Linked DNA regions of Rhinolophus ferrumequinum. The protein of the gene in region 2 purifies or fractionates together with the protein of the main gene of each other region. This does not show direct contact. Links are inferred from orthologs where the notes say so. Each region holds a gene or a part of one and is shown on either strand. Other genes may lie near its edges.

What was found.
Region 1: the proteins of TMEM43 (region 2) and ENDOD1 purify together in Homo sapiens (affinity purification with mass spectrometry; 3 studies listed by BioGRID and IntAct, with this or other methods). This does not show direct contact. The link is inferred for Rhinolophus ferrumequinum from reciprocal best matches to the Homo sapiens genes TMEM43 and ENDOD1.

What each region holds. Positions count from the first base shown.
Region 1 is NC_046294.1:65,825,321-65,832,213, reverse strand, and holds the start of ENDOD1 (endonuclease domain-containing 1 protein), read right to left. Parts: upstream 3,018-6,893; 5' UTR 2,492-3,017; coding exon 2,192-2,491; intron 1-2,191. UniProt on the Homo sapiens protein: May act as a DNase and a RNase. Plays a role in the modulation of innate immune signaling through the cGAS-STING pathway by interacting with RNF26.
Region 2 is NC_046300.1:40,404,394-40,411,835, forward strand, and holds the start of TMEM43 (transmembrane protein 43), read left to right. Parts: upstream 1-4,429; 5' UTR 4,430-4,584; coding exon 4,585-4,596; intron 4,597-7,442. Other genes in the region: CHCHD4 (mitochondrial intermembrane space import and assembly protein 40), read right to left, coding at 4,032-4,053. UniProt on the Homo sapiens protein: May have an important role in maintaining nuclear envelope structure by organizing protein complexes at the inner nuclear membrane. Required for retaining emerin at the inner nuclear membrane.

The sequences.
Region 1 (6,893 bases), on a different chromosome or scaffold from region 2:
TCCTCCTCCTCGTGTCCCTTCTGAACTCCCCTCATCCTTCCAGGCACAGCTCAAATGTCATCCTGACCCTGAGGCTTTCCCCTATCAGCTCCAAGACAGGTTACATTCAGTAGGACTTTGTTTACCTTTAGTAAATTATGGGCTTTTGCTCGTGTCACCATAACAGCTAGTACTTAGGTGCCAGGCACCTCTCAGAGAACCTTCTATGTAATAACTCATTTAATCTACCCATCTACCCTGTTATTATCTCCAGGTTTACAGCTAGTCAGTGGAGGAACTAAGACTTGAACACACACAGCATGTCTCTAAGCACCACCTCTCCACCCAGCATGCTTCATCTACAGACCAGGAAGCCTTTGAAGTTCAAGAGCTACACTCTGTTCTCCTGGTACTCTAAGTGCCTGGCACACAGCAGGTGATTACTAAATGTGTTCTGAATTTAACTGAAATTTGTTTCGCATGCATTCCCGTGTCTTCCTCACTTGTTTCCCCAAAATAAGACCTAGCCGGACAATCAGCTCTAATGCGTCTTTTGGAGCAAAAATTAATATAAGACCCGGTTTTATTTTACTATACTCTAAGACCGGGTCTTATATAATATAATAAATATAACATAACGTAATATATAATACCAGGTCTTATGTTAATTTTTGCTCCAAAAGACACAGTAGAGCTGATTGTCCGGTTAGGTCTTATTTTCGGGAAAATAGGGTATGATTTTCCTCCCCAAGGCATCCATGGGATCTTCAAGGAGAAAGACCAGATCATCTGTTTTATTCCACAGGCCCACAATCACAATGCATAACGAGCTGGGGAAGAAGAAGAGAGCTCCAAGGGGTGCAGTGGGGGGCAAACTAGTTTTTGATTAATATATGTCTTAAGGGTGCACAATTTACAAAGGGTTTTTTCAGATGCCTGATCTCATAGGTCCTGACATCAGCAGGCGAGGGGGCGTGGAATGGATGCAGAGAAGGTAAGGAGACTAAGGTGCAGATTGCATGAGATCCAGTCAAGCTCTCAGAGCTAGAAATATCTGAATGAGATCACAGAGATTACAGCCCAGGGTTCTGAATGAAGCACCCGAAAGTGGGTCTCCTGTTCACCCATGTGGTTCCGGGCAGCTGTGGCCATCAGGAATAGCTGGCTGAGTGGGTCAGCTCCTCCCCCAGCTAGGGTGGCCTTGGCAAGCTGTGGCAGGTGCAGAGGCAGGTGGGAGGCCGGTGAGGGCAAGAAATGGCCAGAGGGGAGGCTGGCTGGATGCTCTAGAGAGGAGGCTGGCTGAGCAGAGGTGGGGCAAGATGTGTTAAGTCAGGGTCAGCAGGGCATCTGGGGGCCTAAGTGTTTGGTCACCCTTACCAGACAGGACAGTACACCCTGAGAGGTGACATGATTTACAAGTAGTCTGATAATATAGCCAGGAAAAACTGGTTTGTCCTCCCCATTAATTGTAAGTAGTCAGTGTTTCCCTATCATTTATAATTATCCCATTGCCTTTCTAAACATCTATACCTTTATTGTCCTAACTCAACACACTTCAGACCGAATTTACTTGATGTCGTGCACAGATAGGAAGGATTTTGAGCTGTACGCGGCCTCTGCAAAATGGAAGCTTTCCCCTAATATAAAGGGCAGTGAACTTCTAGCCAAAAGACCTATCCTCTCTTACCAGCTGGGTGGTCTTCTGCAAGTCTTTTCACCACCCCAGGTCTTGATCTACCCTTTTGCAAAATGGGCATGAAAATGCCACGCACCTTCCCATTGCCCCCAAATTGTGGCAATGGCCTGCTCCAAGGCCTTTAAGCTCCCAGCTTAGGCTTCCTGCTGAGATGAATGGTCTCCTGGGTCTCGGTCGCACCATCCTCGCTATCCAGGAAATGAATGAGACACTGCAGATGTCTACACAGAAATGTAGGGAGAACCACCTCCCACTGGGAACCGCCCACTGGAGACCTCCGTCCGTGCGGTTTAAGTGAAAGCTCACAGATCGCTGAGCTCCAGCGGTGGCGTTGACAGGGGCGGGCGAGGTACGCTGTAACTCCGGGGGCGCAGTGGGGTGGATCCGAAACCCGCGTTTCCTGACTCTGCCGCTGAGGGCGTGGGGGCTCCCTTTTCCCGCCCTACCCCTAGCGGTGGCAGCAAAGCGCCCTTGGAGGCCAGCCCCGCTGTCGGGCTGGGGGACCACCTTGCTTACCTGCGGCTCCACCAGCCAGCGCTCTTCAGCGCCGCCGGGCGCCAGGCGCGGGGCGCGGAACGCCGAGTACACGGGGATGTGGTCCCGGGTGCTGTACAAAGTGGCGAAGCGCTCAGTGCCCTCGGAGCGCTGACAGATCTTCACGTGTCCCTCGGCCGCCAGCCCCGCAGGAGGGGTCTGGGCATAGAAGAACTGGTCACATTCTCCAAAGCCGGCGTCCTCCTGGCCCACCAGCCGGCCTTCCAGCAGCGCGCCCAGGGCGAGGATGCTGCCCAGCGCGAGCCAGCGCGCGGGGCCCATGGCGGCCTCTGCGAGCGCGGGGCGGCCACAGCGCGGGCTCTGCGGGCCGGGAGGGGAGCTCGAGGCCGCGGCGCGGCTGGGAGGGGAAGTCGGAACCCCGGCGCGGCGCTGCTGAGCTGGGCCAAGCTGGGCGGCCCCGGCGGCAGGGGCGGGTCCACGTCCCCGAGCCGCGCCTCCTGCGCACCCTCCCTCCCTGAAGATGGCTGCAGAGGCCCAGTGCCGGGGCCGGAGGATGCTGGCAACGTCCCCCGGGCTGTAGGCCGGCCTGGAGACGCAGGGCACCTGCCACTGCACTGCCTCGTCTCCGCAGTCCGCAGGAACGCGCGCTCCGAAGAGTGGAAAATTTGAGCGGAGTCAGCCTTATCCGAAGGACTGGGAAGGGACGGTCCCTTGGGCTGCGTGCCCCAGGGACCCTCGGGAATGCAAAGGGGCGGTGTGAGATGCTCACGGAACTGTGGTTCTTCTTAGTGGCTGGGCAGAGACCTCCTCTGAAATCCAATGAAAATTAGTCTCCCCTCCCAACGAAATGCTCAACCGCTTTCACAGGCACACAATTTTGATGCCTTATGGCAGATCAGAAGCCCGGAGACCCAAGTTAAGAAATCCTGTTATAGGAAATTCTTAACCTAGATAGATATAATGGCCCTTGTGGTTCACTTGGGGCAAAGCTTAGAAACAAAATCCATACCAAGAAAACAAGAAGACCAGCCAGCATCATTGGTTAATAGATTCATTGATTCATTGCTTCATTCATCCCACTGAGCGCCTACGTGCCAGCCTGGGTCAGGTGGCAGGGTTCAGTGGTAAATAAGGTCAGAGTCCCTGTGGTCATGAAGACGACAGTCTAGTGAGAAAGCTTGTCATTAGTCAAAGAAGCATTCTAGTAAAGGAATGATTAAACACTGAACATGGATCTATGAGAACCAGACCGCTACAGCGATTCAGGTATGGTCTGGGGTTTGCTTGAAGAAGTGGTGCCTGAGCTGAGACCTAAAGGACGACATTAACAGGGCGAGCTGCTCTGCCTTCGACCAAGTAAGGGCAATGCTGGGAACTTTCACGCAGCCAATGAGTTGTTTAACATTGACTTCATGCTGTCTCCAGCTTCATTCCAGTGCAAGACTGACATAGACCATTGTACCACAGAACTTGAAGTTGGTAGGAAAGACAGATGGACAAGCAACTACAATACAGTGTGAAGGAAGTGTGTGATGAGGGCAGAAAAGGGTCACCTATGCTAATCTGGGGAGAAGCTAATCTGGAAAGACAATGGGAATGGTATAATAGAAAATCACACTTAATGATAACGTACATTGCAATAGTGGCTCATAAACTAGAATAATAATTTCTAGGTGCCTGAAGCTACTTCTTTGGCTCTCCTATCTGTAGATTGTCTAGCACGCGTATGAACTTGACAAATAATAAGTAAATTAACCCCCTTTGGATTACTAGGAGAGGTGAGGAGGCTGAGTACTCCTGATTTATTTTCCTAATAGTGACTAAATCTAAGAAAGCATGCCTGCTTCAAATCCTCTAGTGAGAGGCAGAAGGCCTCTGAGTCAAAAGGGTTGTTGACACCCAGGCCAACAGAAGGCTGAGTCATGCTCAACTAAAATTGTGGGCAGAGCTGTCTTCTTTCTAGCAAAGCTACACTTTGGATGATGTCTAAAAGTAATATTAGACAACTTCAATGCCCCTGGAAGAAGTGCACCTGTGTGTACATACACACTCTCTCCCCATTAGACTGCACTAAAAAAGACACCTGGTCCAACTAATGGGCACTTCTGGAGTGTTCAACTGTCTTTTGGGTATTTGTCCAGATGTTAGAGAATTACTTCGGCCTGGAATAGCTTTGAATTCTTCATGCAGAGAAATATTTGAAACAATTTTTTGATATACCTCAATAAAAAATAAATTCATAAATAAAAGTTTTTAAAATAATTTTTCTGAAACTTTTTTTTGGCTTTCCATATCTATAGGGAGAAGAGTGTAGTGATTATGAGAATGAACTCTGGAGTCAGATTGTCTGGGAGACAGTAATGCTGTCTCCTTTTAATGGCCGTGTGATCTTGGGCAAATTATTGAGTCTCTTTATGCCTCAATTCTCTCATCTATAAAATGAGGATAATGAACCTACCTCCTAGTGTTGTTTTAAGTTTTAAATGTATTCATATACCATGTTTCATTGATTCTAAGATATGCATTTTTTTCACATTTTAATGTCTCTGAAATTAAAGAGACTCTCAAGCCTCTTCCCACCAACCTTAATTTAGCTCAATTTCTGCGCCCCAAAAAGAGTTTATTCAGATAACAGACATGCAGACATGAGTGAATATTGTATATTTAGAAAAGGGAATAAACGAACTTCCCTGGCTTTTTGTTTCTTGCTGATTACATGTTCCCTTTAAAATTGTATTCAGCTGTCAATGTGAGAATGTACAACATTCTGTTTTAAACTTCCCCATTTTTAAGTTTCTCCATTTTAAGTAATATTTATGTTTTTGATCTGTATATTTTTATTTATCTAGAATACATATTGCCTTTGTATTAAGAAAGTAAAAAAACAAAACAACAACAAAAAAAACTTTCCAGGAAAAAAAGGAAACTTTTTGTTAAAGTGCTATTAACATAATTCTAATAGAAAAATTAGGAAAGTAGAATAAAAAATGTCATCCATCATATGATCACACTGTGTGAACATATGCAAAGGATAATAGGAGACTGAGAGAGTTCAATAATTGTCTTTGTATGATAGGATAAGTAAAATTATTTTATTCTATTTTTATATATTTAAAATTTTATATAGAGAAACTATCTTGGAAGAGAGAAAACCAAAGTACTTTTTTAAAACAAATAATATTAAAGTCAGTTGCAGTTTGGAAACCACTGTAGATTTAGTAAGTATAAATTTTAGAAAAATCTCAGGAGGATTTCATTTTCACTAGTTATTCATAGATCACTAAGTCATTCTACCTTATGCTACAAATACGAAATGAAGTTTCTGATGAAGCAAGATGACCAAAATCTACATTCTCAGATATGGATAAATTGCTTGGCTTGGCTCTCTTGCCTAACCTGTATTAATATTATTTAATATTTGTCGTAGTCCTTTCAGGCTAAAACAAAATGTCATAGACTGGGTTGCTTATAAACAACAAACATTTATTTTGCACAGTTCTGGAGGCTGGGAAGTCCAAGATCAAAGCGCCAGTAGAATCAGTGTCTGGTGAGAGCTCACTTCCTGGTTCATAGACAGGTATCCCCACATAGAAGGGGCAAGTGAGCTCTCTGGGGTCTCTTTTATAAGAGCACTAATCACTTTCGTGAGGACTCCACTCTCCAACCTAATTACTTTCCAAAGGCCCTACTTCTGAACACAATCATGCAATAAGTTCCAATGTCTGAACTTTGAGGGGACACAAAACCTTCAGTCTACGGCAATATTACTGAAGACAACAGTCCGCTCAGTGGGTGAAGGAAGTCTGTTTAAATTAAGTAGATGATCTCTTTCTTCCAAATACTGATGTGCATAGAAGAGAAACTTAGTTATTCATTCAACAAACACTGAGTGCCCCCCTTCCCCTTGTGGGCCAGGCTCAGTGCTAATTGCTGGGGACACAGAGTGAATAAAATATGGTCTCAGCTGTCCTGGAACTCCCTGTCTAAGGTACCAGGTCATCTGTATTTTAAACACAGAACTTTAAACATTTATTTCAGAAATCCATCTGTCCAAGTATCTATTCCATTAATATTACTTATGAGTTTAAAACAATTACTGTTTGTCACTAAAAAATAATTAAGGAAAATATTCAGTCCTATCTCTACCTATGTGTGTCTGTCTTAGTCTGCATGTAACAGCTTATGCGAATTGTAAAAAAGCTCCAAAAGTGCAGATAAATGGAAAAAGCATAGGTTTGGGCATCAAGAGACTTTGGTTTAAATTTGAGCTCTGCCACTTACAAGTTACATGAGCTTTCTGAACCTTAAATCTCTCATCTGCAAAAAGGCAGTAATACCTACCTCATATTGTTGACATGAGAATTAAATTAAATAATTAAATAACCAATATGAAGTACCTAACCTATTGCAAAACTCAGTAAATTCGTTCGTTTCTTCCATAGAGTTCCTCTTTAGGTAGGTGGCCAGACTTTCATTTAGGAAAAAAACTGATAACCCACAATTACAAAAATCTGGAAATTACAACACAGGTATTTTAGGGCTTTGGTTTTATTTTCAGAAAGATGAAATGTAGTTTATAGATAGGTTAGCTGCAAGGTTCAACTTGGCAATTCAATTCTAAATCAAGGCAGCATCTTCAGGGTACAGAACCTTTACAGCACAACCCTCCTGAAACCAAAAGACCCTCCTGGGTCCATCGGCTTTGACCAAGTATCAGCTCACC
Region 2 (7,442 bases):
CCTTCTTAGGGTGTCAGAAACCAGTTTCTTCACCAGCTCAGCCTACCTATCATGGTCAACAAAGAAAATGAAATGAGTTTCTTTTCTCACCTGTATCCCGCTCAAAAGACAGTCATTTTTTAAATGACATCAAATGACAAGGATAAAATGGCCAGGAAAACAGACAATCAGAGGCTAGAGATGTGAAACCCGTTTTAGAAGTGGCAATGCTGACAGAAGAGTGCTCTGACGTAAGAATGGAGAACGCTGAGGCCAATGTGCGCAAGCACGGGAAGTCAAATAGAAGAAAATTAATCCCCAGCCCAGGATTGGGAATCCAAGGCCCAGGGGTGACTCTGAAAGCAAGACTTCAGAGCGGGGCAGAGCACAGAAGGAATGACTGAGTAGCTGGATACCACGACACCCCCAATTCTGTAGTTTTACTTTCTGTATAGCCATCTTTGACCCTGGTCTTTTTCTCACACCTCCACCATCAAATTTGGTTGGCTCTAGCTTCTAACACATCTAGAAAGATCTGCATCCCTCACCTTCATGACTCCATCTTCCACCACTCGCTCCCTCCATTCCAGCATCTCCTTTCCTTTACTTGAACAGGCTGAGCACACACCTACCTCTGGGCCTTGGCATAGGCTGTCCTCTCCTCCGGGAGCTCTCTCCCTCAGGTACCTTCATAGCCACCCTCTCCCTGACTTCATACGACCTACTTAGATGCCACCTTCCTTGACCACTCCGCATCTCCCTTTGCTTTATATTTCTCCAAAGCATTTCCTCACCTAACATATTATATATTTGTTTACCCCCATCTCCCCCACTGAAATGTCAGCTCCTTAGGGACAAGGGTTTGTCTTTCACTGCAATATCCCCAGAGCCCAGAACAGTCCACACAGCATAGTGGGTAACCAACACTTGTTGAAAAACTGAACTCTGCATTAGGAAATGACACAGAGGGCGGGAAGACAGAATGGTTACCACCATTGAGTAGGTTAGAGAACACCCTTAGATGGGTGGTCTCATCTTCTCCTGAAAGGGGAACACGAACACGCATGGGATCATTACACGCAGGAGTGCCCATCTCTTCCACCATGCCATGAGGGCAGAAAGTGTCACCTGTGTTCAGTTATACGCCCAGCGGATGGCACATCATAGGTGCTCAGTAAATGTTTGTTAGCTGAACAGGCGAGGGCAAGCTCAGTCAGAAAAGGAGGAACCTAAAGTGAGGAACAGTGGGGTGCCGACAGTAAAAGGGTGGGGAGCCCAAAGCCAGGGACCAAGCCTGAGTCCATGCTGTGGAATGCCTTGAATGAAAGAAAGCTAAGGCCTTTAAAGTGAAGGTTGGGTGGTGGGTGGACCCCTGAAGTAAATTTGCACAGGCAAGTGATACACTCAGAACAGAGGGCAGGCATGTGTATAAGTTTACTCAATAAAGATCTGGGTGCCCACTTGTACACCAGCCCATGTGCTAGATGCTGGGTATATGGCACATCTAGTGCTCTTAGCTTCGTGGGAGAAGACAGTCAGGAAATAAGATGACAAAAATAAATAAGGTAATTTCAGAAAATTTAGTATGTAGGGGCCGGTCCGGTGGCTCAGGCGGTTAGAGCTCCGTGCTCCTAACTCCGAAGGCTGCCGGTTTGATTCCCACATGGGCCAGTGGGCTCTCAGCCACAAGGTTGCCAGTTCAATTCCTGGAGTCCTGCAAGGGATAGTGGGCAGCGCCCCCTGCAACTAAGATTGAACACGGCTCCTTGAGCTGAGCTGCCGCTGAGCTCCCAGATGGCTCACTTGGTTGGAGCACGTCCTCTCAACCACAAGGTTGCCAGTTCAACTCCCACAAGGGACGGTGGGCAGCGCCCCCTGCAACTAGAAAATGGCAACTGGACCTGGAGCTGAGCTGCGCCCGACACAACTAAGACTGAAAGGACAACTTGAAGCTGAACGGCACCCTCCACAACTATGATTGAAAGGACAACAACTTGACTTGGAAAAAAGGCCTGGAGGTGAACACTGTTCCCCAATAAAGTCCTGTTCCCCTTCCCCAATAAAAAAAAAAAGAATTAGTGTGTGAAAGACAGAGGGTCAGGGAAGACCTCTCATAGGTGACATCTGAGCTGAATCCTAAAGGATGAGTAGCCAGCTATGGCAAGAGCTGAAGGCTGCTGCTGACAAAGGGAACAGCCAAAAGGCCAATGTGGCTGAGCAATGACAGAGATCAGAGATCAGGCTGGAGCTAGATCAGGCAGGACTGGATCATATAAGCCCTTATACAGCAAGGAGTTGGGGGTCATTTTCCTAAGTCCCAAGAGAAGCATAAAAAATTGGTGGACAGAAAAATAAAAAGTTGGGGATTTAGGGGACTGTAATATGGATAAGATAAAACCTAGTGAAGGCCTGAGTGCTTTCAATTCTTATCCCTAAACTAAGAAAAAGATCTTTGACCCAGGAAAAGATAAGCCATGCTTTGGTAGACGATGGAACCTGCCTCTCCTTCCCAGAGAACCTGTGACTCCTAGAAATTCTCGAGGGCAAGGAGGGTTCTTATTTATCTGCGCAGCCTCATTATACCAAAACGGCTCAAAATTACTTCCTACACGATGAAGAAAATTAGAGACTCAGAGAAAGAAAATTAAAAACACACCTATTTTTCTAATAAAGTGGTGAGGGCAGAGAACTTTTGTTCATGGCACAATTAAAAACAAATAGAAATAATACTCTCATTAGCAATATCAGTGAGTATTACAGCTTTATAACCCAGGAAAGGAGGAGGAATTCTAAAAGCCAGGTGGGGTGGGGAAAAAGGCTTAGCATTTTACACAGAGATGTTTCCCTAACTTGATGTATGATCTTGGGTAGATCATCTTCTCTGGGTTTCAGATTCCCTGAATTAAACTGAGGGCGATGGACTGACTATTCACCAAAGAATTTCTGGGTGAGTTCCAACTCTCTCTGTAGCTTCTCAGGTGTCCACCATCCCCATCACCTGACACAGAGAAGGTTCTTCATGAATACCTGCTGAATGAATGAAGAGAAAAAAAACTTTTTTCTTTTTTTTTAAGGAGGGCGCAGCTCACAGTGGCCCATGCACAGATCCAACCGGCAACCTGGGTGTTATTAGCACCAGGCTCTAACTGAGCTAACCCGCAACCCGCAAGGCCAACTTCTTTTAACTTCTCATTTTACAAGATTGGAAACTGAGGCCTGAAGGGGTTAGGTAGAGGCTCAGGGACAAATGTCGAGCCAGTAAGTGGGCCTGGAGAATTCTGAACTGAGTCCAACTTTTTTGGGGGTGCGGGTGGGGGATGGGGTGTCTTTCCAGCAGAGGGCTTCCAGAAATCCACTAGGCACCAGATTGGACAGTGCAGTTCTGGAATCTGACTGCGAGGGCTCAAACCCCAGCTCCTACTTCCCCACCGCGTGGCTTTAGCCAAGTCACTTGTGTCTTACCAGAGCCTGATTTATAAAGGTCACTGCGAGATCAATGAGAGAAGTCATATAAAAAGCTCCTTGAAGAGTGCCTGATATGCAGTTGGGGCTCACTAAATATTCCTGTTGTTGGTACTTCTACCACTCTAGCACAACACCTAACCCGAGTGGTTACTTTTCAAAACAGTTAAAAGGCGCGTGCAAGTGGAAACACGTGGTATGTGTTTAAGAGCGATAGTAATAATTAATGACAATAATTTCCCAGTTGAGAGCCAGATGAAACGTGCTTAGCACTCCCTTTACCAGCTCGGGTCTAAATGATGAAATCTCCCACGAGCTTGGTTGGTCCCTATGAGGTCCGGGTTCGAGTCTCACCGTGACCTTGGCACAGCCTCATTCCTCCCAGTGTCAGTTTTCTCACCTGCAGAACCGGGGTGGCAACCTCACCGCCCAGCCCGCTCCAAATTTCCCGAGAGTACCCGGGACCACCTCAGGTTGCCCATGCCGGCAGTGAGGTCGCGGGGCGCCGAGGCCTGCGGGGGTAGTAGAGACCGCGCGTGTCCCCTGCAGGCCCTCGTAGGCCGGTCTCCAAGGCAGCTCACCCTCCTTACCTTCCTGCCGGCAGTAGGCCATGGCTGCAGCCCAACGTCTGACTCTGCACAGTAGCGGCGGCGGAGGCCGCTACACGCCGTGACCTCTCCTCAGGTAGGGCGGGAAGCTCTGAGGCCCGTGCGGACCCGCCCCCTCCAGGCCTGCCCGCCGCGCGCCTGCCTCCGTGCCTTTCCAGCCCCAGCCCGATCCTCTCAGCCGGGAACTACATTTCCCAGCAGGCTGCGCGCTGCCCGGCTACTCTCCAGGCAGTAGGAACTACACTTCCCAGAAAGCTTGCAGTGCGCAGGCGCATCAATGACAAGCAATGCATTTTGCAACTTTGTGAAGAAAGGACCTGACCCCGGACTACAGTTTCCAGAAGACCTTGAGGCGCGCATGAGCAGAAAAGCCGGGGACCACGGGGCGGTAACATCGTAGCGCGTCCTCTCTGGTTCTGGGCTTCACGCTGGTTTTCTCAGCTCTTGGGCAGACGACAGACCTCTGGACTCCGCACTCTGTAAAGCCCTTTCCTAGCTGAATAGAACGAGACAGGGCGGCGAGCCGGGTCCCACCATGGCCGCGAATGTAAGTGTCTGCTGATCCGCCGGGCCACACCCAAACTTCCCCTTGTCCCGGGGCCTTCTCTTCCAAGGGGCCGCCTAGGTCCATTTTGCTTGTCTGCCTCTTGTCCGTGCAGCCGACTCCCTATCTTCCTCTGCATGCAGTGTCTATGCCTAACGGCAGCTAGTCCGTCTGTTCATTTCTCTTAGCCTGTCCCGACTCCTTCTGTCCGTGTCCTTTGGTCCACCTCATCCTGGGGTCGCGCGTTTGCGGGGAGGGAGACTCAGGAGGGGTTGCGGGCATTGCGATCTACTTGTGCGCGGCGCCTCCCTGCAGCCCGTCCTTTCGTTCCCAGTTCCCTCCTGGGCTCTTGGAGTTCTCAAATTTGCAGATTTAGAGAGCTGGACGAAACTTCAGAGAGGAGTGTCGTCCTCAGCAAGGGTGGGGAAGCCGATGCGCCCAGGTGGAGCTGTCCAGCAACGGACAGACAGGGCTGTCCCGGCGGGCGTTTAGCTCCCCGTCCTAGCTGGTATGCGAACCGAGGCTATGATGCTGCGAAGGGGCACAGGCTTGGTTGGGAGCGGAGGAGTTAGAATGGCTGTGAGAGGGAGCATGGCCCTATTGCTGGGCTCTCCTCCTTCTAGCGCGGATTTAGTTAGAGAGGTCCCGACTGAAGGTGGTTCCTTTCAAAAGGCCGCTGGCCGCTTCGTCCTGCAGCCAACCTTTCTCAGGAACCTTTCTATTTAAGCCCAACATTCATTCAACAAAACGAGCAGCACATCCCACCAGAGTTCTGGGTGTGAGAAAAACTGTGACTCACCACTCCCCTCCTCTGTGAAAGTGCTGCTGGAGCCAGCTCGGGAGCCCTGCCAGCCCCAGACACTCCCTCCCTCCCTCCTGCTTTGGTGGAGTGTCCTACCCACTCTCTCCTAGCCTGGTACACCCTCTCTCCAGGCACCTTCTCTGCCCCCAAGGGTCTTCTCTGCCCGCCGCACCCTCTGAGAGACAAGGTTTGTGTCACTACAGCCCTAGTGTATACTCTGCTCCACGTTAGACTTGTCGTGGAGGCCTTGACGTCTTGAATGCTGTACCTAGAAGCCTCACACCCTGAGACCCAGGATCTGCCAGGGGAGAGGGCAATCAGGAGATTGGCTTGTCCCCAGAGGTGGCCTCCTGTCTGCCCCCACACCACCACATAGGGAATTTCCCCAGCAGAGTAAGGCACTTGCCCAGCTTTCACAGCCAGCTTGGCCGGTTACATCCTGGGAAGCTGCTGAAATCGGCAGCCTTTGGAGTCAGGCAGACCTGGGGGCAAATCCAGTTTCATCCTCTCTATAGTTGTGTGGCCATACTGGGAAGGTTAAGGGAAATTGTGCTTTGCACAGTGCCTGGTGCATAGTAGGTAGTTAATACATGAAAATGCCTCTTCACAGTCTAACACGATGGTCCTGGTGGGCAGAGACCATCTTGGGTATGTTGAAACCTGACCTTTGCCGAGGAATATCAATGAGTTTGGATATCCTCCGCGGCCAAGTCTTTGTTGATTCATCTAGTAGCCTGATGTGTGTTTATGGGAGCTGCCAGGCCAGTGAGGAAGATGGTGGGGTGGAGCAGGGAGGTGACAGAATTCTTCATCAATGTAACAACTGTCCTGTGACAGATACTACTTACTGTCTCCATTTTATGTGAGTAAACAAGATCAGAGAGGTAGAGCAACTTACACAGCAAGTCATTTTCAGGCCTATACATCGACCTCTGTTCCCACCCCTCATTGCTTCTGAGCCCAAAGTGCTGGGACTGGGGGCGGAGGTCGGTATGTGTCACTGAGGATACATTTAGGTATTCAGCACACATCAAGGAGCCAATACCAAGATTGGGAGCTCAAAGATGGCCTTGAAGAGAAGGAAGAAAGGCTCAAGAGGGTGCCCCTCAGGCTAGAGGAGGTACAAGGGTGAGTAGTGAGGAATGGGCAGAGGAAATCTCCATCATCCTGTTTATAGGGAAGTTGGTTGAGAATGTGGGCTGATGTGTCCTGTCACTACGCACTTTACTCCTCCCCTCGTTTGGGCCTTTCTGCCTTCTCTTCAAAGCCATCTTCGAGCCCGTTGTCTTGACGTTGGTTCCTAGATAGATGCTGAGGGGAGGCCCAGAAGGAAGCCATGCCTTCCAGCCCCCAAGTTTGGGGCTGCACTGGTAACAGCAGGACTGGCTCCGTTTCCTGTCACTGTCTGCAGTTGGCTCCCAATATTCTGCTCTTGTTATATCCCAAGAAGTGAAGAATGCCGGGCCGGGCGGAGCAGAGTGTTAGGAGAGTGGCCTCCTGTCTGGCCTGATGACTTAACTGCTGAGCCTCGGTTTTCTCATCTGTGAAATGGGGTAGTGATAGCGCCGATGACCGGCCTGTGATAGACTGGTGTGTTTGCCATTGTCATCATTATGATGGCTGATGGTCACCTACCTGCCTACAGTGAATTGCTCCACTGATGTTTCCAAATGGCGTGGAAAGTCAAGACCATTTCTGAATGTAATGTACATCTGGTCCTTGGCAGGCCTGGGCTGGTGGCATTTGGGGACAGTCAGAGAACATGGCATCAGCCTTGTTCCAATGGAGACTGACTTGAATCTCTCCTCTGACCCTCACTCCACCCCCTGTGACAGGATGGGACCTGGCTCACCCTGAGTGCTCATCTGACCCCCAGCCTTGGTACCAGCCTTGGTGTCAGTTACAGAGAAAGCTGATAACCTTTCCACCAGCTAGCACCTGTGCTCTAGGCACTGGACCATCCAATAATTAGGCCCTTTCGTTCTCACTACAACTCTATGTATTAGATTGTTATCCCCGTTAGATTATTATCCCCGTTTTACCAACA